Linked DNA regions of Canis lupus familiaris. The protein of the gene in region 6 binds, or shares a complex with, the protein of the main gene of each other region. Links are inferred from orthologs where the notes say so. Each region holds a gene or a part of one and is shown on either strand. Other genes may lie near its edges.

What was found.
Region 1: SNRPG (region 6) and SCNM1 share a complex: the UniProt entries of both Homo sapiens proteins name them as parts of the minor spliceosome. The link is inferred for Canis lupus familiaris from reciprocal best matches to the Homo sapiens genes SNRPG and SCNM1.
Region 2: SNRPG (region 6) and SF3B2 share a complex: the UniProt entries of both Homo sapiens proteins name them as parts of the minor spliceosome. The link is inferred for Canis lupus familiaris from reciprocal best matches to the Homo sapiens genes SNRPG and SF3B2.
Region 3: SNRPG (region 6) and PRPF6 share a complex: the UniProt entries of both Homo sapiens proteins name them as parts of the U4/U6-U5 tri-snRNP complex. The link is inferred for Canis lupus familiaris from reciprocal best matches to the Homo sapiens genes SNRPG and PRPF6.
Region 4: SNRPG (region 6) and GEMIN2 share a complex: the UniProt entries of both Homo sapiens proteins name them as parts of the SMN-Sm complex. The link is inferred for Canis lupus familiaris from reciprocal best matches to the Homo sapiens genes SNRPG and GEMIN2.
Region 5: SNRPG (region 6) and SNRNP40 share a complex: the UniProt entries of both Homo sapiens proteins name them as parts of the U4/U6-U5 tri-snRNP complex. The link is inferred for Canis lupus familiaris from reciprocal best matches to the Homo sapiens genes SNRPG and SNRNP40.
Region 7: SNRPG (region 6) and PLRG1 share a complex: the UniProt entries of both Homo sapiens proteins name them as parts of the minor spliceosome. The link is inferred for Canis lupus familiaris from reciprocal best matches to the Homo sapiens genes SNRPG and PLRG1.

What each region holds. Positions count from the first base shown.
Region 1 is NC_049238.1:60,887,477-60,891,750, forward strand, and holds SCNM1 (sodium channel modifier 1), read left to right. Parts: upstream 1-1,474; 5' UTR 1,475-1,618; coding exon 1,619-1,669; intron 1,670-1,880; coding exon 1,881-1,951; intron 1,952-2,184; coding exon 2,185-2,273; intron 2,274-2,348; coding exon 2,349-2,446; intron 2,447-2,567; coding exon 2,568-2,656; intron 2,657-3,293; coding exon 3,294-3,488; coding exon of another isoform or gene 3,489-3,632; coding exon 3,633-3,732; 3' UTR 3,733-3,793; downstream 3,794-4,274. Other genes in the region: LYSMD1 (lysM and putative peptidoglycan-binding domain-containing protein 1), read right to left, coding at 559-738; TMOD4 (tropomodulin-4), read right to left, coding at 3,471-3,634. UniProt on the Homo sapiens protein: As a component of the minor spliceosome, involved in the splicing of U12-type introns in pre-mRNAs. Plays a role in the regulation of primary cilia length and Hedgehog signaling.
Region 2 is NC_049239.1:51,712,201-51,716,203, reverse strand, and holds the start of SF3B2 (splicing factor 3B subunit 2), read left to right. Parts: upstream 1-1,203; 5' UTR 1,204-1,249; coding exon 1,250-1,382; intron 1,383-1,561; coding exon 1,562-1,608; intron 1,609-1,885; coding exon 1,886-1,963; intron 1,964-2,689; coding exon 2,690-2,938; intron 2,939-3,154; coding exon 3,155-3,205; intron 3,206-4,003. UniProt on the Homo sapiens protein: Component of the 17S U2 SnRNP complex of the spliceosome, a large ribonucleoprotein complex that removes introns from transcribed pre-mRNAs.
Region 3 is NC_049245.1:48,284,676-48,288,813, reverse strand, and holds the start of PRPF6 (pre-mRNA-processing factor 6), read right to left. Parts: upstream 2,801-4,138; 5' UTR 2,786-2,800; coding exon 2,775-2,785; exon of another isoform or gene 2,164-2,774; coding exon 2,095-2,163; exon of another isoform or gene 1,887-2,094; intron 1,079-1,886; coding exon of another isoform or gene 988-1,078; exon of another isoform or gene 920-987; intron 1-919. Other genes in the region: SAMD10 (sterile alpha motif domain-containing protein 10), read left to right, coding at 3,073-3,519, 3,595-3,766, 4,129-4,138. UniProt on the Homo sapiens protein: Involved in pre-mRNA splicing as component of the U4/U6-U5 tri-snRNP complex, one of the building blocks of the spliceosome.
Region 4 is NC_049229.1:17,472,816-17,476,801, forward strand, and holds the start of GEMIN2 (gem-associated protein 2), read left to right. Parts: upstream 1-1,186; 5' UTR 1,187-1,237; coding exon 1,238-1,374; intron 1,375-1,767; coding exon 1,768-1,852; intron 1,853-3,411; coding exon 3,412-3,501; intron 3,502-3,986. UniProt on the Homo sapiens protein: The SMN complex catalyzes the assembly of small nuclear ribonucleoproteins (snRNPs), the building blocks of the spliceosome, and thereby plays an important role in the splicing of cellular pre-mRNAs.
Region 5 is NC_049223.1:69,116,397-69,120,380, forward strand, and holds the start of SNRNP40 (U5 small nuclear ribonucleoprotein 40 kDa protein), read left to right. Parts: upstream 1-1,184; 5' UTR 1,185-1,239; coding exon 1,240-1,383; intron 1,384-1,559; exon of another isoform or gene 1,560-1,698; intron 1,699-3,602; coding exon 3,603-3,732; intron 3,733-3,984. UniProt on the Homo sapiens protein: Required for pre-mRNA splicing as component of the activated spliceosome. Component of the U5 small nuclear ribonucleoprotein (snRNP) complex and the U4/U6-U5 tri-snRNP complex, building blocks of the spliceosome.
Region 6 is NC_049231.1:70,131,345-70,134,844, forward strand, and holds part of SNRPG (small nuclear ribonucleoprotein G), read right to left. Parts: intron 2,954-3,500; coding exon 2,931-2,953; intron 2,076-2,930; coding exon 1,951-2,075; intron 1-1,950. UniProt on the Homo sapiens protein: Plays a role in pre-mRNA splicing as a core component of the spliceosomal U1, U2, U4 and U5 small nuclear ribonucleoproteins (snRNPs), the building blocks of the spliceosome.
Region 7 is NC_049236.1:52,571,453-52,575,665, forward strand, and holds the start of PLRG1 (pleiotropic regulator 1), read right to left. Parts: upstream 2,801-4,213; 5' UTR 2,655-2,800; coding exon 2,646-2,654; intron 1,338-2,645; coding exon 1,231-1,337; intron 942-1,230; exon of another isoform or gene 870-941; intron 199-869; coding exon 56-198; intron 1-55. UniProt on the Homo sapiens protein: Involved in pre-mRNA splicing as component of the spliceosome. Component of the PRP19-CDC5L complex that forms an integral part of the spliceosome and is required for activating pre-mRNA splicing.

The DNA.
Region 1 (4,274 bases), on a different chromosome or scaffold from region 6:
TAAATACATAAATCTTTGGGGAAAAAAAAAAAAAACCCAACAACTTAGATCTAGAGTGGTTAGAGCACTGGTCTCACAAAGAACCTTAGAAACCAACTCTCCACTGTTTGCTGTAAATGTTTAATCACTTGCAATTAAAAAGTTTCCATGTGGTTAATATTACGAGCTTTGGAGTCAGATCTGTTTGAATTCCCACTCTAATGCTCATTGGTTATTTGACCTTGGTCAAATTGGTTAACCAATCTAAGTCTGTTTCTTCATCTGTAAACAAACGTATGCTTGACGGGGATGGGAGAACCAAATGGGCCAATGTATGTAAAACCTCTAGAATAGAGACTGGCATAAATAGAAGCAGCTCCTCTCCACCCGGATAGTGGCACAGGGTCTGTCCCAACCAGACAAGGCAACACTGAGATGGGAGAACAAAAAGATAAAGGTGGGTCAGACCACAACACAATTAGGAAATTTCAGGGGAAGTTGCCTAGCCGGGTCATTACATTCTAATGAGGAATAATCTCTTCTGAGTGGTTGTCTGCATCCCTACCATGGAAGACTCACCGTCACCCCGTATTTCAGTGCGAGTCCAGCCAGGGTGTCTCCGGGGGCCAGCTGATGCTCCAGGCGTCTTTCCCTCACCGGGGAGCAGGCTGACTGCACCAGGCTTCCGTAAGAACGAGCCCGGCTCCCCTGTAGCAGTCCTGACCCCCCGAGGGGGGCCTGTCTAGAGGACGAAGCCATCTCCTCACCCCGCCGGCAGCTGGGGTTGCAAGTGAGGGAGGCCTGGCTAAGTGCCGACAGCCACGGGGCTGGGGGCGAGGGACGTCTATCCAGGGGGTTCCTTTCCCCCGTCTCCTCTCACAAACCCCCGTCTGCCCCGGCACTTCGCGCCCCCGCGGCTCTCGTTTGTCCCGCTTCCCAGGCGCCTTCCCACGAATCTGTATCCCGAGGATCCAGTCCCTACCAGAGTCTCTCCTTATTAGCACCCCGCTGACTTTCAACCCTCCCACCACTATGAACTCTGACCTTTGAACCGTAGTTACCCTCCACACTCCGCTCAGCTCGCCCCTCTCCCCCAGGTCAGGCAGCCTCCGCCTCCCAGGTTCCCTTCACACCCCGGCCCCGCCTCGTCCCGGGTTGGTCGGCTTGTGTCAGGAATAAATCCAGCCCCCTCCTGGTGGGCTGTCGGCGGCCAGGGAGGCGCGTGAGGACCGCGAGAGTTTGTACTACACGTTCCACTCAGAGATCTTCCAAGGCCCGCTCCTCAGCAAATCCGTCACGGCCTCAACGTCGGTCTCCACATTTAAGTTCTTGTCTCCCCAGACGCCTCGAATCAGCCAAGATGCAAGGGCCGGGAGCCAGCTGGGTGGCAAGCCCTTTGAAAAAAAGACTTCATTTCCCAAAACGCCCCGCGCCTGCGGGGTCGCCGGGTCGCGTGGGCAGTGCGGTCGGCTCCGCAGGCTGTGGGCGGGCTTTCCGCGAGCGCTGTGCATCTAGGGAAGTAAGGAGGCCAACCGGAAAGAAACCCGACGGGAGAAGACGCCTTACTCTCGCTACGGTGGCCTGAGAGGAGTGGCCGAGGCGGCTCGGGAGAATTGTTCGCTTCTGGAGCTCAGTCGTAATGTCTTTCAAGAGGGAAGGGGATGATTCGAGTCAACTCAATGTGCTCAAAGTAAGCGCGAGAGGGGAGCATCGGGAACAGTTTCACTGCCCCGTGAAGGAGCTGTTTTGTTGCTCTGGCAACAGCTGCGGGGCCGGCGCGACCAGAGCTGGGTAGTGACCCCTTCTTCGCCCAGTGATCTCTGTTCTCATGGTCCTTTTTGCCTTTCAATCTTTGACCCCTCCCTCCTCTCCCACTGGTCCCGTCCGGCTACCCCCTGCAGAAACGGAGAGTCGGGGACCTGCTGGCCAGTTATATCCCAGAGGATGAAGCGCTCATGCTACGGGATGGACGGTGAGGGCGAGGGGTGATCAAGCCCGAGGGTGCTGCGGTTATAGGCTTCGTATAATTTTGTTATCAAGGGGGGAGCGGGAGTATCTAGGATTTTCTGATGGGGGATGAGGGACAGGGATGTGGGTGGTGGAAATTGGGAGACCCTAGAGTTTGGTTTTGGAAAGGGTTGCTAGGTCCAGGTGGAACCAGACCCCACTCACCTGGCACCGAATATCTTCTACCCTCCTCTCCAGCTTCGCTTGTGCTATCTGTCCCCACCGACCTGTACTGGACACCCTGGCCATGCTGACTGCCCACCGTGCAGGCAAGAAACATCTGTCCAGTAAGTGAGGGAAGACAAATCTCTGCAGATCACTCTTGCGGTTTTGTTTTTAATTCTCTTCCCCTCTACCTTCAGGCCTGCAGCTTTTCTATGGCAAGAAGCAGCCAGTAAAGGGAATGGAGCAGAATCCAAGACAGCAGAATGAATTGAGGCAGTCAGAGATCAAGGCTGAGGTAGGTAATCAGGGAGGGGAGGGTGTGTTTTGGGTGGGCCTGCTGCACATCTTAGGCTTGAAGGGCTTCGACTTCTTTCTAGCTCTGAAGACACTGACTGTGTTTCCCATCTCCACACCAGGCTCCTCTGTTAACGCAGACCCGACTTACCACCCAGAGTGCTCTGCACAGAGCTCCTCACTATAACAGTTGCTGCCGCAGGAAGCACAGGTCTGTGGGGTGGGAAAGCCAGAGGTAGGGCGGGTCAGAGGAGATAGATGGCTCTAAGATAAAGGTATTACAAATTGTATTCTCAGGAATATTAATACTCCAGAGATGTTTACTGATATTTCAGAAAAAAAAGAGAATGTTGCTTTTTTTTTTTTTTTTTAAGTTTAGGAAACGGCACTTTGGTTTTTGTTCTAAAGATTTTACTGATTTATTCATGAGAGACAGAGAGAGGCAGAGACATAGGCAGAGGGAGAAGCAGGCTCCCTGTGGAGAGCCCAATGCAGGATTCAATCCCAGGACCCCGGGATCATGACCTGAGCCGAAGGCAGACACTCAACCACTGAGTCACCCAGGTGCCCCAGGAAATGGCACTTTGTGATCCTACTTGAAGAGTAGTAATATTAATATATTCGAAGGGCTCTACAAAGTCTAAAGATTAAAAAAAAAAAACCCTCAAAATGTTATACTAGCCTTTTAAAAATTCATATGATTCCAAAATTCTTTTTTTTATGCAAGACATTTACTAATATCTTGAGGAACACAGTTTAGGAAACACTTCTGTAAGGGATTGGGAGTCATAGGAGAATTGGCCTTTTTCCTTTACTACTTTTATAGACGTTGATTCTTCTCTACCTAGACCAGAAACCCCTCGTCCCTCTGTCTCCCATCCCCCTTTACCACCCCCAGAGGTTGAGCCTGAGAGTGGGAAGATCACTAAGGAACCCATGCCTGGAGCTGGCCCACAGGCCAAGGAGTCAGCAACTGTCTCATCCCCTGTGCCCATGAGCCCCACGAGGAAACGAGCCCTGGATCATTACCTCACCCTTCGAAGGTTTGTATGCAGAATCACTTTCTTCAAGTTTTCTCTTTTCTTTCTGAGTTTTCTTATTTCAATCCTTCTCAATTGTTTTTCTCTTATCCCCATTAACTTCTTAAACCTCTTTTCCTGATTTATTCTATTTTCTGTTATTTGCAGCTCTGGATGGATCCCAGATGGACAAGGTCGATGGGTAAAAGATGAGAATGTTGAGTTTGACTCTGATGAAGAGGAACCTCCTGACCTTTCCTTAGACTGATACCCTCTTTTCCCCCTCAGTTCACAAATAAATTTCAGCAGGCTCCAGGAGTCTAACTTTCTTCAAGTCTACTTCCTTGCCCCATTTCAGGATTTCACTGGTGGATTTTTTTTTTTTTTTTTAAGTAGGCTACACACCCAATGTGGAGCCCAATGTAGAGCTTGAACTCATGACCCTGAGATCAAGACCTGAGCTGAGATCAAGAGTCAAACTCTGATTAACCAACCAAGCCACCCATTTCAGGTGTCCCCCATTTCAGGACAGCCAGGCCCATTCTTCCCTGAAATGTACACAGCTCCCCATACTTCTGACCCCTCCCCCACCTTCAACCAAAGTACTGCCAAGCGTCAGCTGCATGCAGCCCAATGCCCTATTAATAAGTCTGTCAGAAGGAGGTCTTTGCCCTTCATGTTGTCTGCCTTCTTTTTTTTTTTTTTTTTTTTTTTTGTTGTCTGCCTTCTTCCCCACCTTCACTCAAAGTTCTTTCCTCCTTCAGATCACATGAAGTTGTAGTTAGACACCAGGGGCCCTACCCGTATCTG
Region 2 (4,003 bases), on a different chromosome or scaffold from region 6:
GGTGTCAGGAAAATGAGACCACTTTACTTGAATTTCCCAGCTCTCACTCAACACACACACACACACACACACACACACACACACAGAGGCAATGAGCCTGCCAGTGAGAGGACAGGGCTAGAATGGGAAGAGGATCTCAGAGCTAGTGGCAGAGATGGGAAGAGAAACTGAATTGATGGGTCAGGATAGAGAGAGATGGAAGCTACACAAGCAGGGAACATCTGCTCATCCCTCCCTCAGGTGCACAGGCGGTTGCTGGTGCTGCTGGTGCTGTTGGGGCAAGGAAGGCAGCGTCGACTCTGCCAGTAGGCTGGTGGGGATAAGGGGAGAAAAAGTCCTGAGCTCATTTTTGGGACTAAAAAAGATGCATCCTGTCGCCCGAAAGATCGTTTCGTTTGTTTTCCCCATTAATCATTACTGAGCGCCTCTTGAACGCCAGGTGCTGCCGGACAGTAAAAAGACCAGGTCCCCTGTGCACGTTCTTGGGGAGGTGGGGCAAAGGGGCAAGAAAGAGTTTAAAACAAATGGTAGATGTTTGTACGTGTTACGGGAACTCCAAGGAAGGAAAGGAAAGCGGGAGAAAGGCTAGCGGAGACATCTGAGCCGGCCTGATAGGTGGAAAAAGGGGCTTTAGTGTGGCCCTTCCCCCCAGGTCGGCAGCTGGAGCTCAGCCCGCTCCCCTCCTGGCTCCGATCCTCTTTCAGCCCATTCATCCATGCGTGGGCCGGGGGTGGGCGGGCAGACAATCAGATACTGTTTTATCACAGGCATCGGCTGCAACCTCCCGCTTGGCGCCCACAACGCGCGGCCGCTGGCAGAATGAGTCCTTCAGGCCTCCCTGAGGAACGAAAGCGTCCGGGCCTCTCACGCCTGAGCTGAAAGTCTGGTCGGAAGGCTGGAGATCTGCGCTCCGGCGAGGCAGACGCAGAAAGGACGCCTTTCTGGCGGGACCATCTTGCCCCGCAGCCCCGCCCCTGCTCCAGCCTCCAGTGTTGCCGGTGCTTCAGCCCGGCACTGTGCTCCGGGAGCCGGACCCGCAGAGAACGGGACCTGCGTACTACAACTCCCAGAAGGCTTCGCGGCCTGGCATCCTGGGGACGCTTGGAGATCCGCAGGGTCTGGGCCGCAATGTGAACCGCCTGCCAATCCTCCAGCGGACGTGGCGTACGGCGCTGCCGGAAGTTCCGGCAAGTGGGCCCCAGGTCCGGTCCGGACTTCCGCGTTGGTCGCGCGCCTTCCTGCGGCTAAGATGGCGGCCGAGCATCCCGAGCCTCCCAAAGGAGAGTTGCAGCTGCCGCCGCCGCCACCTCCCGGTCACTATGGCGCTTGGGCTGCCCAGGAGCTTCAGGCCAAATTGGCGGAGATTGGAGCTCCGATCCAGGGTGAGGAGCTCGGGAGGTCAAGGGCCGGGGCAGCGTAGGCCCAGGGAGAAGCGGAGCCTGGTTACCCCGGAGACCCGGGGGGCGGAGGGAGGGGCGGAGGCGGACCGCTGGGGCCTGGCTTGGTCCCGCAGGCCTGCTCGGCCTGACTTACCCCGTTGATCTTGTGCTTTGCCCATCAGGGAGTCGCGAGGAGCTGGTGGAGCGGCTGCAGACCTACACGCGCCAGGTAAGTGTTGGCGGGACGTCAGGATAGGCCGAGTTTCTGAAGGCCTCAATGAGCCCTCAGGACTCGGTCTTAGCTTTTTATGTACCTTGCTGTTTCTGCTTGTTTTTTTACATTACCTGACCAGTTGTAAACATTTCTGTATATATAGGTCTTCTGCAGTGCCTAGCGCAAGCTCTGGCAAATGGGCAGTTGGTAAATTTTGTTGAATGAATGGGAGCAATGACGTTTTGTGGAACAGCTCCTCTTGGACTGACCTGGAGTCCTTTCTCTTTTGCAGACAGGCATCGTGCTGAATCGCCCAGTTCTGAGAGGTGAAGATGGGGACAAAGCTGCTCCCCCTCCCATGTCCGCACAGGTAAGGAGGTGGTTCTACTTTATAAGATGACTTCTGTTCAGGGCAGCTCCTCTCACAGTCAGTGTTTTGGGGATGCCACTAACAGATTGGACAGGGAGAAATGGGAGCTCTTCAGTTCCCCTTTAGTCCTGATCCTTACCTCCTTACCCAGTGTCTGCTTCTCCAAATACTACCTGTCATTTAAGGTTTAGCTTAAGTAATTTAGAAGCCTGACTTGATTCTCCTTCAGCTGGAAATAGCTCTTTTTTGCCTTACCAGGCACAGTTCTCATTTTGTTCAGTGAGACATTATGGCTCACTCTCTTATTTTATTTCATACCTTTTATATTTAGTGAGCCATTGGGACACACTGGCTCCAGTTTATTTAAGTCTTCTTAACTTCCATTTCCTTTCTGAGCCAGGATTTGAATTTTTCTCTAGGACAAGACTCTGATCTGGGATCTATTGACTTCTGTGGGTGGGAGGAGGAGTTCCCAGGTGGCCATTAGAGGTGTCCTTGGATTTCCTGAAATTGTATGCACAATCTGTGTTCATGGTTTTCTGGGGAGAGAGTCAATAGCTTTCCTTGGTTGGTACCCCAAAGTTAGTATTCTCTTCTATCGGTATTATATTTTTTTGAATGCAGGAATTGTCACTTGACTTTGAATTTTAGTACCTGGCTCATAGTACCTGCAAATGTCTGCAGTAGATAAACGGTTCCTAGTGTATGTTGACTTTTTTTCCACAGCTTTCTGGGATTCCCATGCCACCACCACCCATGGGACTCCCCCCTCTGCAACCACCTCCACCACCCCCACCACCTCCACCAGGCCTTGGCCTTGGCTTTCCTATGGCAGTTGGTCCCCGCCCACCAAACTTGGGGCCACCTCCTCCTCTCCGCGTGGGTGAGCCTGTGGCTCTGTCAGAGGAGGAGCGGCTGAAGCTGGCGCAGCAACAGGCAGCATTGCTGATGCAGCAAGAGGAGCGTGCCAAACAGGTAGGGGAGGTGGCAGGTTGGGCATAGGTCTCATCAGGGTCCTAAAGAGGATTGAAGCCTTAGAGAAAGCTGGATCCTGGGGCCAAGCCTTCTGGGAAGTCTGGACCAACGACTGGAACATAGACCCCAGGCTGAAAGAGGACCCCCAGAAGCAGTGTTGTGGCAGCCTGGCCTGAGGGGTAGTGGTGCTGATGTGAGTTTGTTTTCTTTTTTAAGCAGGGAGATCATTCACTGAAGGAACATGAGCTTTTGGAGCAGCAGAAGCGGGTAATTCCCTCCATTGGCTGTCACTTCTAGTACTAGTGTCCAAAACAAGATGCTCCATTCAAGTTTTCCATGGAGGTTACCTCATCCTTAAGTTCCAGTATCTCCCAGATAATCCCATCTTTTCTGGAGCCCAGATTGGTAAACTACAGACTGTGACCTGATTTTGTATGGCCTGCAAGTTAAGAATGGTGTTTCTAACTTTGGAGGATTGTTAGGAAAAAAAAAATTGGCAAACCAAGAACATACTGCAACCCTTGCAATGGCCCATAAAGTCTAAGATATCTGTTGTTTAGCCCATTACTGAAAAAGTCTGATAATTCGTATTAGTCTTATATGATTTTAGATACCTATGAGAGGACTCTGGATTAGTCAATTGTGTGGGATTTAGACTAAATGTGATAGAGGTAGTTAGAGAATAATACATGAGACATGCAGTCCCAGAGGTGCACTCTATCAGTTGTTCCCTGCTGCATTACTGGAGATATTGAAAGTAAGCATTAACAGGAATAGATATGAAATTATGAAGTGCTGATTTTGCCTAGAATGTGTTAGATCTTTTTTTTTTTTAATTTTTTTTTTTTTAATTTAGTTATGATAGTCACACACAGAGAGAGAGGCAGAGACACAGGCAGAGGGAGAAGCAGGCTCCATGCACTGGGAGCCCGACATGGGATTCGATCCTGGGTCTCCAGGATCGCGCCCTGGGCCAAAGGCAGGTGCCAAACCGCTGCGCCACCCAGGGATCCCTAGAATGTGTTAGATCTTAAGGAGCAGATAAAAGAATTCATTGTTCCTTAG
Region 3 (4,138 bases), on a different chromosome or scaffold from region 6:
CTCGGGGGTGAATTCCATGCAAATCTCTCCTTGGGCGTGGTGCTGGGCTTGGGTACCAGTCATCACCTGGGCCCATGTTTTAGGTGGACATGCACGACGACTCTATCTCCGAGTGCGCCTTTGCTCGTGGTGCCGTGGGCGTCCTCTGGCACCCGCATACGCCTGGGGAGAGCGCCCAGACCCCTGGCGGTGCAGGCTCAACTTGGTGGGTAGCAAGTCTGGCCTTCTGACCCCGGCGGCCCCCAGCCCACCCTAGCACTTCCCAGGGAGGCCTGGAACAGACGCATCCCTCTTCCCTGCAGCGGCCTCCTTGGAGCGGCTCTGTCCTCCCCATGCCCCGCGAAACCGCCTTCAGCGGCACCCCCTGAGCCCCGGGCCAGATCCTGGGGCTGCGTAGGGAAGGGGACAGGTGCTGCCCGGCTGTCTTCCTGGAGTCCCCTGCGGTGGGTTAAGGGAGGCTCCTAGGGGAGCAAGTGCCCCTTGAGGGAGAGATCTCTGGAGAAGGCGAGGATAAAGGAGTGAGAAATGGAGGGGTCGGTCTGGCCCTCCACCTGGGCCTCGGTGGACCGACCATCCCAGGACCAGGGAGGATGTCCGCCTCCGGCCCGCGCCCTCCCGCCGGGACCTTGGCTTCCTCCTTTCCCCGCCTCAGAGGCCCCCGGGGGGTGGGCCCCCCGGGAGGTGCAGGCGCTCGTCCTGGAAGCCACCGCCAGGTTGCAAGGTCGCCCGGACCCCCGCAGGCTCCCTTTGCAGAGCAGAGCTGCGCGCCGCCGCTAGACCGCGGAGCTCCCGAGCGCGCCCGGCCCCGGGCTCGGGCTCGGGAGCAGGTGCCTCGCCGCGCAGACTCGCCCGGCGGGCGCGGGGACCGGCTCGGGCGCGGGGCGGGCGGGGCGGGCGGGGCGGGCAGGCGGCGCGCGTTCCCCGCCGGCCACACGGCCGCCTGGCGCCCGGCGAGGGGCGTGTGCGCGGCCCGGATCCCTGGGCCCCATGTTCACGGAGCTGAGGACCAAGCTGAGCCCCCCGCGAGGCCGCGCCGGGGCTGTGCGCGCCGGCTTCGGGGAGCGCCGGGATGTGGACGGTGAGCAGGGCTGACCACGGCGCGGGCGGGCGGCGGCTTGAGCCGAGGGGGGCCGCATCCTGGCCGATCGGGGTCCCTGGTGCCTTTGTCCTGATGGGGGGTGGCCTCGGGCCGGGGCATCAGCGCACCCTTGGCTTGGAGGAGGTTACGGCTGGGGCTCCTGCCCCCCGCTGGCCCACCCCGCGGTCACCTTTCCCTTTGCGCGCCCTTCCCTCCCCTGCTCCGCCGTGGGGCCGACAGGAGCCGAGGCCACAGCTGGGCTTGGACGCCCCCGGCCCCGTTTCATGGTGGAATTCTGACGTTGGGGCTAAGAGGGAGGGACGGAACGACGGGCGGACAGACAGAAAGACGCAGATCGTTCCCCTAGCCTGGGCAGCAAATGGGCGGGGCCCGCTGGACCCCGACAGGTGCAGCGCCGCGGCGACGCCCACCTCGGCCAGAGCTTCACGCTCCTGCCCCTGCCCCTGTTCCTGCCCCTGCCTCTGCCCTTGTTCCTGCTCCTGCCCCTGCTCCTCCCCTCCCCCTGCTCCTGCCTCTGCTCCTGCCCCTGCCTCTGCTCCTGCCCCCGCCCCTGCCTCTGCTCCTGCCTCTGCCTCTGCTCCTGCCCCTGCCCCTGTTCCTGCCCCTGCTCCTGCTCCTGCCCCTGTTCCTGCCCCTGCCTCCTTCCCCTGTTCCTGCCCCTGTTCCTGCTCCTGCCCCCTGTCCCTGCTCCTGCCCCCTGCCTCCTGCTCCTGCCCCCTGCCCCCTGCCCCTGCCCCTGCTCCTGCCTCTGCTCCTGCCCCTGAACCTGCCGCTGCCCCTGCTCCTGCCCCTGCCCCTGCCTCTGCCTCTGCCCCTGACCCGGCCAGCCCACTCCGCCAGGCCCTGCAAGGCGAGGCCGAGTGGCTCTGGAACCTGTGCCCTGAAAGATGCCAGCTTAGAATAAGTCTTTTTCCGTGATATCAGAAACCTCATCCAGGCAGGGACCGCACCAGGCACACCCTCTATTTGATCCTGGACCTCAAATTTAGAGTCACCTGGGGTCATCCAATTCCGAAAAGTTGCAAGTATGAAGACGGCGTGCTGAATCGGAGGAATCTGAAGGGCTAGAAGGGGGAAGTGATGGGTTTTCCCCATGGCTGAGAACTCCTGGGCACACAGCCAACCCCTCCCTGCCCTCAGCTGGGGGCACTGGGTTGTGTCCATGGAAGGCAGGGTCTCTCATTCTAGGGCTGAGAGCCAGGGAGGCGAGGGCCCTGGCCGAGAACCTGCTTCTGCCTGCCGAGTTGGGGCCTAGGTGCTGTAAAGATGAAGGCGAGCCTGGGCCCAGCTTCCTGTCTCTCCCCAGGGCTCTACTGGCTGTGGACACCACACAGAGCCTTTCTCCATCCACCCAGCCAGCCAGCCACAGTGTTCCTGGGCACCTGCTGTGTGCCCAGACCTGTGCAAGGGTCAGGAGGCCATTGTTAGGGTGTCTGCCCTCCCGTGACCTATGTGAGCAACGAGCCCAGGAAGGACAGCGAAACTAAAACTTGAGGAGTGTAATGAAGTCTGTGGAAAGAAAGCGCCAGGTGTCCCCGTGGCTCCCCGAGCTCATGGCTGGCCCCTGCACACCTGTGCTGAGCAGCCCATGTCCGCTGGATGCCCACCCACGGGAGCTGTCCTGGGCCAAGGGCCCTGCGACAGGTGGCAGAGCAGGGTTCCCGGGGTGGCTTGCCTGCAGTTCATTCAGGCTTCCCGCCGAGGGGTTGGCAGGTGAGCACCGCACGGCAGGAGCCACGTCTCAAACGCCAGGTATGGCTGCAGAGTTGGGGTGCCGTCAGTGGCGATGGCAGGCAGCATTCTCGGGGACGCCGTGACGCAGGGCCTCCCAGGACAGAGGGGCCGCAGCGTGCCCTGGTCTGGCTCAGCGTGCGTCAGCCTAGAGCGAGGGTGAGACGAGGCCTGTCTCAGGGTAGCTCCTCACCAGACTGTGAACCTTAGGCTCCCCGGTGGGCACACTGTCTCTCGAACCTATGCGGAACCCCTCGTGCTCCCCAGAGCACGGCCAGTGCGCCCAGAAGAGGAAGGATGCTCCCAGGCCATCAGCTTTGGGCTGGGCGGGCTACGCAGGACCGTTCTTGCGCACTTCCTTCCTGTCCCTGGGGGCTTGGGGCCCCCCGATTGGGAAAAGGGGCCTCGTGTTCAAGGGAAGATGGGTTGAGCAGGGAGTTGGTTTGCAGAGAGACGATCCTCTGGCCCCGGCCCTGACCGCCCTGACCAGGCGCCCATGCCCCGCAGCCACTGCACACTTCAGCTTCTGCCGAACCCTCCTGGAGCACACGGTGTCCGCTGAGAGCATCCCCTGCCACCTGCCTCGGACGCCAGGCACCAGCCTCACATGGCACGACTCCCGTAGCCAGAGGGCCGCTGGTGGCCGGCCGGTCAAGCTCCTGCAGCAGCCTGGCACAGAGGCCCCCCAGGTACCCACCCGCCGTCCCCCCTCAGCCCCTGCCCTCCCACCACCTCACCGCACCCGGCACCCGTCTCCCCCGCAGGGCCGGATGTACTCTGACCACTATGGCCTGTACCACACGAGTCCCTCCCTGGGCGGCCTGACGCGGCCTGTGGTCCTGTGGAGTCAGCAGGACGTGTGCAAGTGGCTCAAGAAGCACTGTCCCCACAACTACCTCGTCTACGTGGAGGCCTTCTCCCAGCACGCCATCACAGGTGCCCTTGGGGGCTGTGGCATGGGGGGGCATAAGGATCCCCTGGAGAGCCCCCCCAGCCTGCCTTTGTCTCTCTTGCCGTCATTTGTCTCTCCTCGGTTTCCTCTTGGGCCAACCTCTCCTGCCAGGGCTCTCTCTCCGCAGTCTCCCCGGCGTGTTGCTCCGTTCTCATGGCTTTTCTCTGCCCTCCCCTCTGCCTCTCACTCTCTTTCCCTCTCTAAATCCTGCTGTCTCCGCCTCTCCTTCTGTGTCCTTGAGTGTCTCTGTGTCCCCTTCCCGTTTCCCTCTCTCTGCCTCGGCTCTTAATGCCCCTTGGAGGTTGACCTTGGCTCAACCCCTCTCTGCTCAACCCCTGGCTCCCAGGCCGGGCGCT
Region 4 (3,986 bases), on a different chromosome or scaffold from region 6:
TCTCCCAATTGTTTACTTACAGTTCATAAGCACAAATTCCTTTAGGTCTTAACCCAGGAACTGTCCTCACTTTATCTTCAAATGAGAAAGTTACATTCTGGTTTTGAAATCAATTACTTGCAAGCTAAAGGCAGTGCTTTAAAAAAAAAAAAAGCTTTAAAAATAAACATAATCTTAGGAAATAAAAGTCAATTATATTTACTCAGAGCTTCTTTAGAAAGAATCAGATATAACCTTCATTGTTCCTTGGAATGTCGCCCAGCACAAGTTACTTAATCCATTTCTGACATGTTTCCTCACCTGTAAAATGGAGATAATAGTACCTACCTCACAAGATTGGCCCTAAGATTAATCATGGTAACTTTTGGGTATTGGCATTAGCTTTATCCTTTCACTACTCATTTAAACAAAGAGATCTCTCAAGAAAAAGGAGGAGGAGGAGGAAGAAGAGGAAGAAGAGGAAGAAGAAGAAGAAGAAGAAGAAGAAGAAGAAGAAGAAGAAGAAGAAGAAGAAGAAGAAGAAAGCGATGTCTACTCAACGACTAATATTCATTTCCAGCAAATACAAAGGGATCTTTCAAGTAGCCAAGCGCAAGAAATTTCTCTGGAAAATTAATATTTCATTCATTTGGCATCAGATAAATCTGGGTTGGAAATGGCTCTTCTACCCTCTGTCTCACTGTGGGAGTGAAAGTCACAGTTGTAGTACTTAACCCTTCTTTATATCGATTTGCTCCCCTACAGAACCAGGATAATACCACTTACTTCAAAGAGTTGGTGTAAAAACTAAACGAGGAAACATACGTGATATGTCTACCAGGGGTTTAAGAGCTCAACTAAATGAAGTGGATTTCTTGTAGACAATTAAAAATATAGAGAGAGAGAGCTCAATAAATGGTAATTACAATAACACTGTTCATTAATTCAAAAGATATCCAAGGATCCCTTACTACTGCAGATGCATAAAGCTTAATAATCCTCAGTGTTTACCCTGGCCTTAGGAGAGAGAACAGAGGGAAACACGCAGAAACACTTCAGGACCACTTCTGCAAGGAACTAAACTTCACCGTCTCCTTACACCACCCGAGCCTTAAGTCTGGGACAACCGGCCGGCTTCCTCAAGCGCAATTACACTGCCTAAGCTCCGCCCCCTTAGACTCCGCACTTAAGGTCTGCGCCTGCGCCGTGACCTGCACTTGGCGCATGCGCCAAAGGGGGACTGGCGGGATTAAAAACCATGGCGTGGATGCCAGCAGAATCCGCAGTGGAAGAGTTGATGCCCAGGCTGTTGCCAGTGGAACCGTGCGACTTGACAGAGAGTTTTGATCCCTCCGTCCCACCGAGGACGCCTCAGGAATACCTGAGGCGGGTCCAGTGAGTGATTTGGCCCCGTGCGGGTGGGCTGGTCGTCCGCTCTGCCCCCGGGCACAGCTCGACCCCTACCTACGTGTGATAAAGCCCCGCCTCAGTGGCCGTTCCCTCTTTCACGCGAGGTAGGGTCGAATCAAGATCACTTGATGACATCTTTACCTGGGCGAGTTTTTATGAATGTAATTCTGTTTACCTGTGTCAAGATGTGTGCTTTTGGATTTCCTTGCTTTCCAGTTAGTTTCGGAAATAACCTTGTGTAGTACGTGCATTGCGCTTCCTTTTTTTTTTTTTTTTTTTCTGATTTCGTGAAGAACTGTAGAATGGATCGCTCGTTTTACTGCACAGGAACAAAGCACAGCCGTAATCACATTTCTTGCATTTATTACTTATTTGTAGGATCGAAGCAGCTCAATGTCCAGATGTTGTGGTAGCTCAGATTGACCCAAAGAAGTTGAAAAGGAAGCAAAGTGTGAATGTTTCTGTGAGTTTTATGACCCAGCAGGGGATTCTCCCCTTCCTCCCCCTCTCCCCTCGACCAAATGGAAAGCTCAGTGGCCTTCCTGTGGTATCCTGTAGTATCTTTATGATTTATGTAAGATTGGACTACTTCCTGAGACATTGAACATTAGCTTGGACTTTTAACCCTCAAAAGGACAGTTGGCATTTACTGCCCCCAGAGCAGTTTCCAGTAACCCTGGCATTCGTGGAGACTCCTCATACTTCAGGGCTGTGATCCAATTCTAAAGGACTCTAAATAGGTTACTTACGTTATTCTTTATTTTTAAGGAACCTTTTTCCAGTCTTGTTCATAATTATTCTTGGATTGGTGTTTAATGCTATTTAGTGCAATATTGCATGTTCTGAATTTGGGCTTTGTTTTTTTAAGAATAGAAACTCAGGTGTCTTACATTTTTCTAGTTACTTGCACACACACCTTGAATATTTTTTGTGAAGTGACTAGGTTGTGCCAGGCCCTGGGATTACAATAGAAAATGAGGCACAAAAATCCCTACCCTGGCAGAGTTTACATTCTCCTGAGGAATACAGAGTAAACAAGCAAACAAAGTAATTATATATTATGACTTTTTTTTTTTTGAGATTTTATTCATTTATTCATGAGAGACACAGAGAAGAGAGGTAGAGACGCAGGCAGAGGGAGAAGCTGGCTCCTTACAGGGAGCCAGATGTAGGACTCGATCCCAGGACCCCAGGATCAAGACCTGAATGAAAGGCAGACACTCAACCACTGAGCCACCTAGGCACATCTATATTGACTTGATATGAAGAAAATTAACCTGTATATGACCAATAAGTAACAAGGTTACTTGTTTACAATTGTACTGTTGACAATTAAAATTGTCACAGAAAGTCTCTCTAAGGACATATTATTTAACCTAGGGTCAAAGGAGAGCAGCAGTTTTTAAATTGTGATAGGTCCTTTTCCTCTTATGAAATTTTAATTCAGATGCTATAATGTTTCACATATTTTCAGAAATTTTTAGTTGATGGATGAGAATATCTTATCTACCTAGCTTTTAAAAAACACACTATTATTTCAAGGCAATATGTATTTCAAGGCAGTATTTTGACCTATTGTGCTGTCTTAGGAAGCTGAAGTAGCCTTTGTAAAGTCAAATGTCTTAGATTATTTGAGTACATTCTGCCAATACCAAATTCTTTATGTGGGTTATGTCTCCTCATTTCAAATAATTGTCTTCTTATAGAAAGGTAGGACTAAATTATGTCTTCAGGGCTCATATAATTTAGATTTCTTAGTTTAGAAACTCCAAATATGAACCATTCCAGATTGCTCTTATTGAAGTGACCCCACAAGGATCTTTTCCTAATGTTCAAACTTGGACATAAATAGTAAAGTGAAAGGCCTACTTTTTGGCATCTGCAGAGTACAGTATCTTTCTTAGATAGCCTTAATCATTTACTTTATTACTCTTCATCTTGGTTGTGCTTTTACTTTGCAGAGGAATGACGTTCTAGTTATAACACTAACATCGATTCTAATATTTATGAACTGATCTCTAGCTTTCAGGATGCCAACCTGCTCCTGAAGGATATTCTCCCACACTTCAGTGGCAACAACAACAAGTGGCACAGTTTTCATCTGTTCGACAGGTGAGCGTACTTTAATCATTTTATCAAATTAAACCCCTTCCATTAGAAAGACAGTTCTAATTTTACTCATATGGAATATAAGAAACAGTGCAGAGGATCATAGGGGAAGGGAGGGAAAACTGATTGGGAAGTAATCAGAAAGGGAAACAAGCCATGAGAGATTCTTAACTATAGGAAACAAACGGAGGGTTGCTGAAGGGGAGGGGGAGGATGAGGTAATAGGGTGGTGGGCTTTAAACAGGGCCTATGATGTGATGAGCACTGGGTATTGTATGCAGCTAATGAATTCCTGAACTCTACATCTGAAACTAATGATGTAATATATGTTGACTAATTGAATTTTAAATAAAAATTAAACCCCTCTCTCCCTCAAGAATTATTTCTGTTCTTAGACTGTAGTTGGAAAAATAAGATTCATTATACTTTTTTTTAGATTTATTTATTTGAGAGAGCGAAAGTGCATGCAAGCAGGCAGGCATATGAGT
Region 5 (3,984 bases), on a different chromosome or scaffold from region 6:
GGCCTCTTTCTGCCGTTCAGTCATTTTCCTCCCATTTGCCGCAGGGCCCCTGCACATGTTGTTCTATATGGAACGCTCTGCCTTTCTCCCTTGACCCAAATAATTACAATTCTTCCTTCAGGTATCAGTTCGGGCATCTTTTCCTCACAGAGGCTTTTCTGCTTATTGCAGACACTCATAACATCAGGCACCTCTCCTAGGCAGCACGTATTTTAAAGCTCTTAGTGAGATCACTGTTTAACATGCTTGCCCTCAATATTCAAATATTTGAATTGTTTGTTTGTTTTTAATTTATTTATTCATGAGAGACGGGGGGGGGGGTGCAGAGACACAAGCAGAGGAAGAAGCAGGCTCCATGGAGGGGGCCCGACGTGGGACCATCTTTGGTTCACAATGTATCCTCTCAGGGCTCTTTCCAATAAACACCAGTTGGACAATTAAGGAGACCTAGTTCCCAGATATGATTCCGAATTTCTCCACAGGACTGTGCTCTGGAGAAGCAGCAGTCGGATACTCCTCTCATCCCTGTCTCTCCCAGAGGCACTGAGCAGGCCCTCGTAAAAGGCTGCATGACCAGTGGCAGAAACAAGCCGGCCTCCTCAGTCAGAGAGAGGAGCCTGGTGGAGCTGGGAGACAGGCCCTTCCTCCCTGGGGGCGTTCGGCACAGGCACAGGGCTGGACACGGCAGGCGCTGGACGAACGAGTCGGCGGACGAGGGCCCCGGGCGGCCGCAGAGACCCCAAAGCCCTGCTCCAGCCTAGAAGGGGAACCCAGGCTGCTACGCGCCGACGCTGGGACCCCGGGGCCCGCCTCAGGCCCCTGCAAACCTTCAGCTGAGAAGAGCCAGGCTCACGTCACACAACCGAGGCGCCGTCTCTAGATGCCGCAGCCACCCACCCTCGACCTTCCTTCCACTTACTCTGGGTCAGCTCCCGGTCTCCCGGCCGCAGCATTGCGCGAAACGCCAAAACCAGACAACGCTTCCACCCACAAGACCCAGCGCGCCTAGGTGGGACTCCAGCTCCACCCACCAATCCCAGCACCGCACTCCCGTGACGCCAGAAAGAACTGACCAATAAAAGAAGAGTATTCAGGGAGGCGGTGCAGAGGGGATTGCTGCAGACCGATTGGTTACTCCAAGCCGGAAGTTCTGGGGGAAGAACTAAGTCGGAACCAATCGCGCGCTGCCTGAGGGTGTCGGCGCGGTCAGTGGCGGCGCTGAGGAGAGCGGTTGCCGCCATGATAGAACAGCAAAAGCGCAAAGGCCCGGAGTTGCCACTGGTCCCAGTCAAGCGGCAGCGGCATGAGCTGCTGTTGGGAGCGGCGGGGTCGGGCCCCGGAGCTGGGCAGCAGCAGACGGCGCCGGGAGCTTTGCTACAAGCGGTAAGTGGAGTCGCGGGCGGCCCTCGGGCCTCAGCTCATCTTCCCCTCAGGGAGCCCGCCCCCGGTGATCCCGCAGTGCGGGGTAGGAACGGGAATAGCTGCCTGCAGTTCACACAGGAAACACTGTAAAAGCGGTCGACACCCCCCCTGCCCCCCCGGGACGCTCCGCTCGTTACCTGGTTGGACGCCCGCTTTCAGCGTCTCGACCACCCTGGGAGGTGGCGTTACATTTAGCGTTAAGGACCTTGAAGTCAAAACCCGCACCGGGGCTTTTTCGTATTAAATCTTCCACAGGGACCCAGCGTGGAGTAAACATTCAGAAAACTTTGTAGAACGGCTGAAAAAAATGAATGAATGAATGAATGAATGAATGAGGAGAGAAAGGAAACGAATGAGCCCGGCTTGCTTTGGTCAAGATGCCCGCCCCCCCCCCCCCCCCCCCCATGTCTCAGCACTAGTACTGTTACTAACAACAACGGAACGAGAGCTGACCTTCATTTAATACCTGTCCTAAGGGCTTTGTGTATGAAAACCCCATTAATCTTGGTAACAGCTTAAGAGTTAGGAACTCTCAGTGCCCTGTTTTGTAAGCTCTTAACCCGGTAAGTGATAGGAAACGGTTTTAAAGCCGAATCCATGCTCTTAACTGCATTTCTTGTAAGATGGAGGTAATAACGATCACCCCTCTGCTGGGCTGGTAGGCTCCGATCAAGAAGTAAACGTCTCCACTCTCAACCTCTCCACCAGCCGGTGAGCAAATCCTGCTGGCACACCGTCCTCAAAATAGATGCCAAATTGCTAATCCTTGTGCCACCTCCATCACTCGCCCCTGGTCTAAGCCGTTATTTTTCTCATCTGGCATTATTGTAGTGAGGTCCTAACTGGTATTTCCTGTTTCTATTCTTTTATGGTCCATCTATTCTCAGTCCAGTGGCTAGAGAATCCTGCTAAAGGTCAGCTCGTGTTACCCTCTGCTGAAAACTTTTGATGGCTTTCCATTTCACCCAGGGTTAAATCCTTACAATCCTTAAAATCTTTTGCCCATTTTCCCTTTACCTCTCAGATCTACCAATTTTCCATTACTCCCCCTGCTCCAGTCACACTGGCTTCCATGCTCTTGCCTCAAAGCCTTTGCATTTGCTGCACTCAACTGGAATGCTCTTCAAAATATCCACGTGGTTTACACACTCAGATCCTCCAAATCTTTGTTCAGATATCACTTTTTCAGTAAGGGCCTTCCTGACTACCCTGTTTTAAATTGCAATACCCCATATGTATTAATCCACATCGCTTTTTTTCTTCCGTAGCACATACCAACCTGCTATATGTTTTGTTTTCTCTCTTCGTCTCTTCTCTTCCTCCTTTCCACGGGAACACAAACTCCATTGTTTATTTTGTTCAGTACTGTTTTCCCAACGCCTAAAACAGTGCCTGGCACGTTAATTTTTTTTTTTTTTTAAATAAATGAGTAAACTGAAAGCTATTAAGGATGTTTGGGGATTATCAATAGTGTACCAGGTCTTCTCTCTGACCGGAATGTCAGCCCAGGTTCCAGTGAATTGTCCAAGCCTAGGTTTAGTGTCAAGACCATAGTCAAAACTACTTTCCTGGGTAATATGTACCTTGCAGGGTTGTTGGGAAGCTCAGTTCAGGCATTAATTAAATGTGCTAGAGACTGGGAAAAGTGTTGAATGCAGGGTCCCTGCAGTCACAAAGCTGCTTTTCTACCGGGGAAGAGGACAAAATGTGTAAACCAATACAAAGGAAGGTGATTTCAGGTAGTCTTAAGTGCTGTGAGGAAATACAGTAGGATTAATGGAATACAGAGGGGAGGTGTGATGCTGCTTTGAGTTTGAGTGATCAATGAAAGACTTTCTGAAGAGGAAACATTTGGAAAGAGCTAAACACAGGACGATCAAGGGAAGAGGATTCCGATCAGGAGCAAGAAGTGTAAAGATCCTGAGACAGAAATGAGCTTAGCATATTTGAGCAATTTAAAGTTGGCTATGGGACAGAAGGAGCCTGAGGGAGTAGTCAGTATAACTGGTAGACACTGGACACTTGAGTAGGAGGGTATCAAATTGGAGGCCTAAGTTAATGTGAGAAGAGTTACCATTCTCTAAATCAGGAGAAATCTACTCAATGATTGTTTACCGTGTCTTTTGTAGTCTCCTTTGCCTGTATGTAGTAACTACCCTGTACTTCTGTCTTTTGTTTAGGGACCTCCAAGGTGTTCCTCCCTTCAAGCGCCAATCATGCTTCTCTCAGGACATGAAGGGGAAGTGTACTGCTGCAAGTTTCATCCCAATGGATCCACCTTAGCATCTGCAGGCTTTGATCGACTGATATGTAAGAGATAGTTTTTGAAGTTGGGATAATCACTCTCTGCTAAATAGTGATTATTTTTTAAAACCTTTAGTGCCACAGAGTGTATCAGTCTGGATTATTCGCATTACAAACTGCATAGCTAAAACAGTGTAAGGAGAATGTTGAATGATCTTGAATATAGACCTCAAGATCCATGTGGTAAATACAGAGGAGATTATGTTACTAGTTGAAAAGTGAGTTGCTCTTCTTTGAGAATATCTTCCTCATGGAGGC
Region 6 (3,500 bases):
TCTCTCAAAAAGTCTTTTTATTCAGGATAATTGATACGTTACCAGTTTCATTTTCTTTAAATATTTATTAGAGAGAGAGAGAGAGCGTGTGCGAGAGCGTGAGCTCAAGTGCGCAGGTGGACAGGCAGAGGGACGGAAGTAAGAGTTCTTGCTCAGCTGGGCAGCTGAGGTGGGGCTTGATCTCTTGACCCTGAGATCATGACCTGAGCCAAATGCTTAACTGACTGAGCCACCTAGGCAGCCCCCCATTATTTCATTTTCAAAGTGTTAACTCAGCTGCAAGGACTACTGCCTACTAACACAAAATTTTTTTGGTCACACAACAAGCATCAGAGGTGGAAGAGCCAACCGCCTAACGTAGTAAGAAGGTGCCCATAACCAATTTCTGTGTAAAGAACAAGCCCAATAAAATTTAGGGGGGAAATTTCAAGAAAAACCCATGATTTAGGATCAGTTGCTTCTCAGACAAAATTCCAAAAAGTGTCACGTAATTCTCTGAAGTTATCTTCTCAAATTAGAACTGACTTTTGGTTATCAAAGTCCTTCTTCAATCTTTAGCAAAGTCTGTTGATATATAAACTAAAAATCCAGTCTACCCTCTCTTACAATGAAAATTACTGAATTTGTAATAGGAAAGGCTAGAGAGAAATACTGGGGGTGGGTATTTAGAAACCATCTTTAGAACAAACTGGCTGATACTGATTTACCTATAGTTTTTTCATTTTCTCAAGGAGAAAGGAGAAGGAACTCAAGGAGAAAGGAAGGTCAATTTGCATAAAACTTGGGGGAGGGGAATCTCATATCTAGGGATTGATTCCAAGATCACTGGAATCACTGGATTTTGCAGCCCAGATCACTGATTTGCTTTTCAGATGAAAATGCGTTTGAAAGAAGCAATAACATACACTTTGGAAAGAGTAATTAAAAATTGTGAGGTAAAAAAAAAAAATCAAGGCTAAGAATTAGGAACTCTTACCATCTTTTAGAGGTCTTTATGCTCAGTGATTTGCTAATGCCAAGTTGTCCTTTTTGATTTATGTTTCCCAAGAAACTTGGGATTTACTAACTTACTGGGCATATTGTCCTCTGGTGGTCAGAATGGGATTCAAAGCCTGCGTCTTGTTGATAAACATCAAAACCTTTCTCAGTAGTCATACCACCGTGGTCTAATGAATATAGAAATGTTTGCTCCTATAATTAACCCAGCATTTGCTTTTTTCTTTCACATCAATGGCTACCCCTGCGATCATCCCTTGAAACTTTTACTTTGGCCACTTTTATTTTTTTATTTTTATTTATTTATTTATTTTTTTACTTTGGCCACTTTTAAATTTGCAGAAAACCCAGAAAATCTGGGTTAATTATACACACACCTAAAATCGAAAGGTATAAAGGTGGACTAGCAGATTTGCATCCCACATAGTTAGATGGGATCTGCATTTTAGTAAGATCTTCTGGGAACTCCTAAGCATGTTAAAATTGAGCATAATGAAGGACTGACTATGGACCTCTATTATAAAGCTCAAAAATACTTTGTACAGCTATTTCAGAGGATTCTGCATAGGATTCAGATCTAACCTACTGGTAACTGGGATGCTACCAGAGTTGAACGGCTGCCATATTTTAAAGTAAAAGGGAGATGGAAAATCTATCTGCTTATCTGCCCATTTTTTTTTTTAAGATTTTATTTATTTATTCATGAGAGACAGAGAGAGAGAGAGAGGCAGAGATACAGGAGCGGGGAGAAGCAGGCTCCATGCAGGGAGCCTGACGTGGGACTTGATCCCGGGTCTCCAGGATCATGCCCCTGGGCCGAAGGCGGCGCTAAACTGCTGAGCCATCTGGGCTGCCCAATCTAATTTCAATTTAAGACAAGAATTTAATAGAAGGGAAGTTAATCCTTATTTCAAAATATGAAATCTCTAAGAGAAACCTTCCACCCTTACTTACCACCATTCCAATATTGTTCTGTTGCCCGCTAGTTGCCATCTCCACACATTCATCTATCACAAGATTCATGAATGGATCGAACCCTCGCAATATTCCTTGGACATGTCTGCCACCATTTAATTTCACTATAAAAAGGGAAAAAGTAGTTTAATAAAACTGAGCATTAAGTATCAACTATTGAGAATCAGGTGGAATAAAACTCAGGTACTTGAGATATATAAGCTTCTATCCTTACTATATGCCAAGCAGTGGACTAAACATTTCACATTTACTTCCATATTTAAACATAAAAACCCAAGTGGGGGGGATGGGGAATAAAGAGTGCAGTGTTGTGATGAGCACCAGCTGTTGTATGGACCTGCTGAATCGCTATATTGTAAACCTGAAACTAATACAACACTGTATGTTAACTATTTTGGAATTAAAATCAGAAAAAAAAAAGGGGGTAAAAACTAAAATAAACTTACAAAAATCCTGTCAAATAGAATTATTCTAACTTTTCACAAGGGAACTGAAGTATAGAGCTTCTTAAGAAACTGGTTCAAGGTTATACAGGTACTGTGGGCTAGGGCTGGATTTAAAGGGAAGGATGCTTACTCTGAAGCCTGGGTCTTAACCCCTATATATTTCAGGTACTGTACAGGTCAGATTTTTAGCCTTGGTCAAAGTCCTGTGCTTTAAAAGATAAAAAAGGGTGATATACTTTCGAATATCACAAAATAGGAAAATCCCATTAATTTTGTCTACGTGAGGGAAGGCTTATAGAAAATAATGAAAAGTCTACAGTATGTGTGCAATCTGTTACATATCAGAAATTAGGTAAATAAAATTGCATATAGTTTTTGATAAACCTGATTAATGGATGTGAATTAGAGGTTCTGTATGATTTAAATTCTTATGAAGGTGCTCCAAACGTTATATACTGCCAAGACACATGTAGAAAGCAACTAATTAAAAAACAAAAAACCAGAGAAACTTACATGATAATTTCTTGTCCATAAATCTGAAAAAGCAAAAGGGGTACAAATTACATGACTGATTTAAAAAAATTAAGTCTAAGTAAGCATAATAGTAGGTACAATCAATACGATTTGCTAAAATTGCACAATAAAAATAATGAAACTTAATAAAAAATTTGTACGATGGTGAGAGGAGAGAATACGGTACCTCATTTAGCTCTTGTACAATGTAATTTAGAAAGGGGCAAGATAATAAAAATGGAATAGATTTAGAGTACATTAATGTACACCAAACTAAGTCTTTATGATGTGAATTACAAAAACATTCTTGTTCAAGACTGACCTAATTTCTGATTTTATTATTTTCTTAAAAACAAAGATTTGTTTATATATTTTGGTTAGTACCAAAACCAAAGTTGTAAGGAAATTAGAAGATAATCAAACCATATCCAATTCAATAGCTATTTTATTTTATATTTGAGACAATAAGGAGTGTTGTTTTAATATTAAGCATCATACTTAGGTGTTCAAGATATTCCTCAACACATAAATATTTTATAGCAAAATAAATACAGATTTTGAAGCCTTAAA
Region 7 (4,213 bases), on a different chromosome or scaffold from region 6:
TTTCATTTTGAAAATTCACATGTAAGTCCTGACATTTCTGATAATACATCCTCACCTTGATTGGCAGGATACTGCTTATGACCATACGAATCCGATGCATTCTGAGGACATTTCTCTTTAAAATTTTCTTTCGAAGTAGGCATGTGCAACACAGGACCATACTCATTACGCAGCTTGATTGCCATTTTCCGTTTGTGACTATTTAAAAATTATGAACATAAGAATGTATCTTTGAGTGCTTTAAATATATTAGCCAAAAGAAATATAGACAGCCAAGAACACAAGTACTTAAATAGCTTAGGTTTGCCTAATCATGTAGAAAAAATTCTATGAAGTTTTTAAAGTTAAATAGTATTTTAAAAAGCTTGGAATTTCCAAGTGCATTTCCACACTTTTTTTGTTCCCAATCCACCACAGAGCATCCATTAAGTCTAAGTAGCATTTTAATTTGTTAACCAATAAATATATAACCTTTCATGATAAATTACCAAGGGTCTGATTTAAAAACATATAGAAACTAATATATCCTTTTAAAAACCTCAGTCAATACACTTTCCTTCAAATGTGTCAATATAAAAACACAGTAAAAGCTTCTATCATAACCTTTACTGGATGTATCTAAAAAGACCAATTAGAACTAATCAAAGTAGTTAATTAGTTCAATATTTTTTAAAGAAATGCACTTATATTAGTCTTAAGAACAGCTCACTTAATAAATTAAATATAAATGCTTGTCTTAGGAATTAAGTAGATTTTAAAAGAAGGGTAAAGGACAAAGAAGGAACACTGCACATAATGCAATCCCAGACTGGAGCTGGAGATGTAGAACCAAAAATATGCCACCACTCAAAAATCTTCATCATACTAACGAGAAAAGATGGGAGTAGAGGTACTGGCCAGGTACAATTTCAGCTCAGCAAGGCTCTGAGAGCAGCGGGAAGCTGAAAGCACATACAAAGTGATTGATTATAAAATAAAACACCTAAAAGGGACTCTCCTAATTACTGGGTATTTATAAATGCAATTAATTAATGGGACTTTTTATTGTGAAAGACAAGGCCAAAAAAAGTTAAATCAGCTTAAATCATGCCCAAACACCATTCATTACCGAATAGACATCCTACGAGTGTTAGTATCACTCACTAAGCTTTAAAGGTCCCCCTCTCCCTGCTCTCTTCCCCCAACATTAGAAGTTACATATTCCAGTAACTGAAAAGGAACAATACCTACCTCTCTTCATCCAAAGGCACAGGTTTTCCGTTATCAGCTACAAACATGTCATGGGTTCTCTTCAATGACCTGAACACAAGTGTGTGCACAGAATGTTTCTGTACCTCCTAAAAAGAAAGAACAGAATCACATATCTAGCTACAAATGACACATACCACAACCTAAATTAAGTCAAAGCAGCCATACACTTTACACATTTAAATATGTAAAAAGCTTTGTACCACTCACCACAGCTATTTGTAGCAAGCGATAGAAGAAGTCAAGGTCAGAGAGGAGGAGGAAGCTCCTCAATGGCCAGAGCCCCAGGTATACCAATTAGTGATGCCTGAGCTTAGCCATTGATTCGAACAAGTATTTACTGAGTTCCTACTATGTGTCTGGCAGGCACTGTGCTAGAAGCTAACAAAAGAATGATGACAAGGCAGCCATGGTCCCAGTGCTCAAGAGAAAACGAAAAATAAGCAACAAATCTTTGATAAGTGCTATGAAGGAAGCAAGCCAAGAAAGAACCTAGGATAGTTATGAAAGATCTCTCTGAGGTATTCCTTAGGCAGAAATTCAGCCTCGTGCAGAGCAGAGGTGAGAACAATCCAGGCAGAGAGGAAATGCCAGGTACACAGGGGTTTGGTGGCTGCAATGATGGCCGGAGCTGCAAGAGAACTGTGCATGTTCCACTGGAAGGTGGACTGTGAGGCTGGGATGAGGTTGCAAGGGTAGACAAGGTGCAGATTAGGTTAAGGATTCTTTTTTTTTAAAGGATCACTGCAACAGTCTGCACTTTTGCTCTAGTGACATCTGGCCAGCGAAGGATTTTAAGCAGAAAAAAACGCGATCAACGTATATCTTAAACAGATCAATTTTGCAGAGGGCGAAGAAATGGAAGCGAGAACACCAGCAGGGAGCTAAGGCACTCGTGCAGACGAAGGATGACGCCGGATCTGAATTAAGGCGAAGGCAGTGGGTCTGGACAAGGCTCCAGAAGTATTTCTGAGATGAGACGGGCAAGGCTGGCTAACAGTTTGATGCAAAACTTCAAAATGGCAGGTCTTCCTGGGGGCAGAGCTGGAGGAAGACCGCCCGCCTCAGGACACACAGCCCCTGACGCTGCTCTGCAGGCGGGGACCCCGCGGGGCCGGACGCGGCGCCTCCGGGGGCCCGGCCGAGACCCGACGCTCAAGAGCCAAATACGGACCGTGGAAACTCAGTCGGGCTTCGCGGCCGCGGGTAACGTCCAGCCAGGGCTCCCACCCGGCCTTCCTCTGCCCCTGAAAACCTTCAGAGACCACCCGGCCTCGGCCAGACAGCCCCCCTCCGCAGCCTTCACCATCCCCAAACCGCGAACACCCCCCCACGCCCGCCGCCAAGGAAAAACACCGCGGAAGCCAACGACCCCTCAGCACCAAGCGCCACCTTACCTCGACCATGATGCTGCCGTGCGACTCGCCGCTCCAACAGACAAGGGACACCAGCCCGCAACACAGAAGCCGCCGCCGCCGCCGCCGCCGCGCAGCCCTTCCGGAATCGAGCGCCCTGGCGCCGGAAGTGGGGCCTCCGCGCAGGCGCGGTAGCCGCCCGGCGGCCTTCTGGGATCGAGGGGCGGGGCTTTCTCCAGAGGGGCGTGGCCTCGGCGAGGTGGGCGGGGCTCAGCGGCGTCCCGGAGGAGGTCTTGGAAGAGCCTTCGGCTCGGACTTAAGTAGTTCGGTTCAGGGGTGTGGTTGTTTGCGCTGTGCCTCCCCAAGCTTAATCCTTTAATTTTATTTTTTTTCCCAGCGAACCCAAGGAGTCCGTTCTAGGGAGGGTCTGGAGAGAGCGAATCCCGGTCCGCGTCCAGCTCCCCTGATTGACGTCTCGGCTCCCGCTGCGCCGCGGGGCTGCCCGGCCTGGAAGCCTCCGCGCGCTGCGGCCTCGGCTGCCGAGAGCACCTGCGCTGATGCTGTCCCGTTAACCCTTGGCGGCCGGATGTTGCGGAACACTTTGCATTTGAGAAAGTGTGCAAAGATCTTTGTTGTAGCCCTGTACGGCAAATCCCCACATTTATTTTTACGCTGCATAGATTTTTTTTTTTTTAAATCTCTCAAAACCGCACGATTTTCAGCCAGTCTGCTAATGAACGTGGTGGCGTCGACAGTATCAAAGGGCAGCTTTTCAAAGCTGGCGGAAGAAAGACACAACTGAAGACTCGAGCCACTTTTATTTATACACATCCTAGTGCCAAAATAGCAGTATTTTATATTGTCTTGTCTTAGGTAAAATGCAGTTTTCGATCAAGCCTGTCCCATTACTTTTCTATGCAAACAGGAGTTGAACATTTGTAAATCCGATAGGCAAATATTTCACTGGCCCTGCTTGTTCCTTAAGCTAATCAATTCCACTGATCTCAGCATACCGCATGGGCTTGGAGAGGGAAGAAGTCTTATTGAGGGACACCTGGGGGGCTCAGTGGGGGAGCATCTGCTTCGGCCCAGGACCCAGGATGTGACCCTGGGGTCCCTGATCATCGGGCTCCCTGCAGGGATGGAGCCTGCTTCTCCCTCTGCCTGTTTCTCTGCCTCTCTCTCTGTGTCTCTCATGAATAAATAAATAAAATCCTATCAAAAGTATATCAATGTGAATTGCTAATCTCATTGGATGTACATTGATTCTTAATTAATCAAAAACATTAAGGTCATGTTTCTACTTGAAAATACAATCGTGTTTGAATTTGAGTGAGTTTGGCCTACTGAGTTTCTGCAGCAGTAGCCACTGGTGGTGGGCCTCATAAAGAAATTCTATAATGGTGCAATATGTACTTGGGAACCTACATCATATTTTAACTTCCTCATAGATAGTGATAACTATACAAAAGAATACTATTTTTAAAGGTGATGAAATTATAGAAATGTAAACAAGATTCTAATATATCTATGGCAATATAATAACTGTCTAGTTGGGGCCTGTTAACATGTTAATCATCCAGGAAAGAATTGTATAAACCCAGACTCAT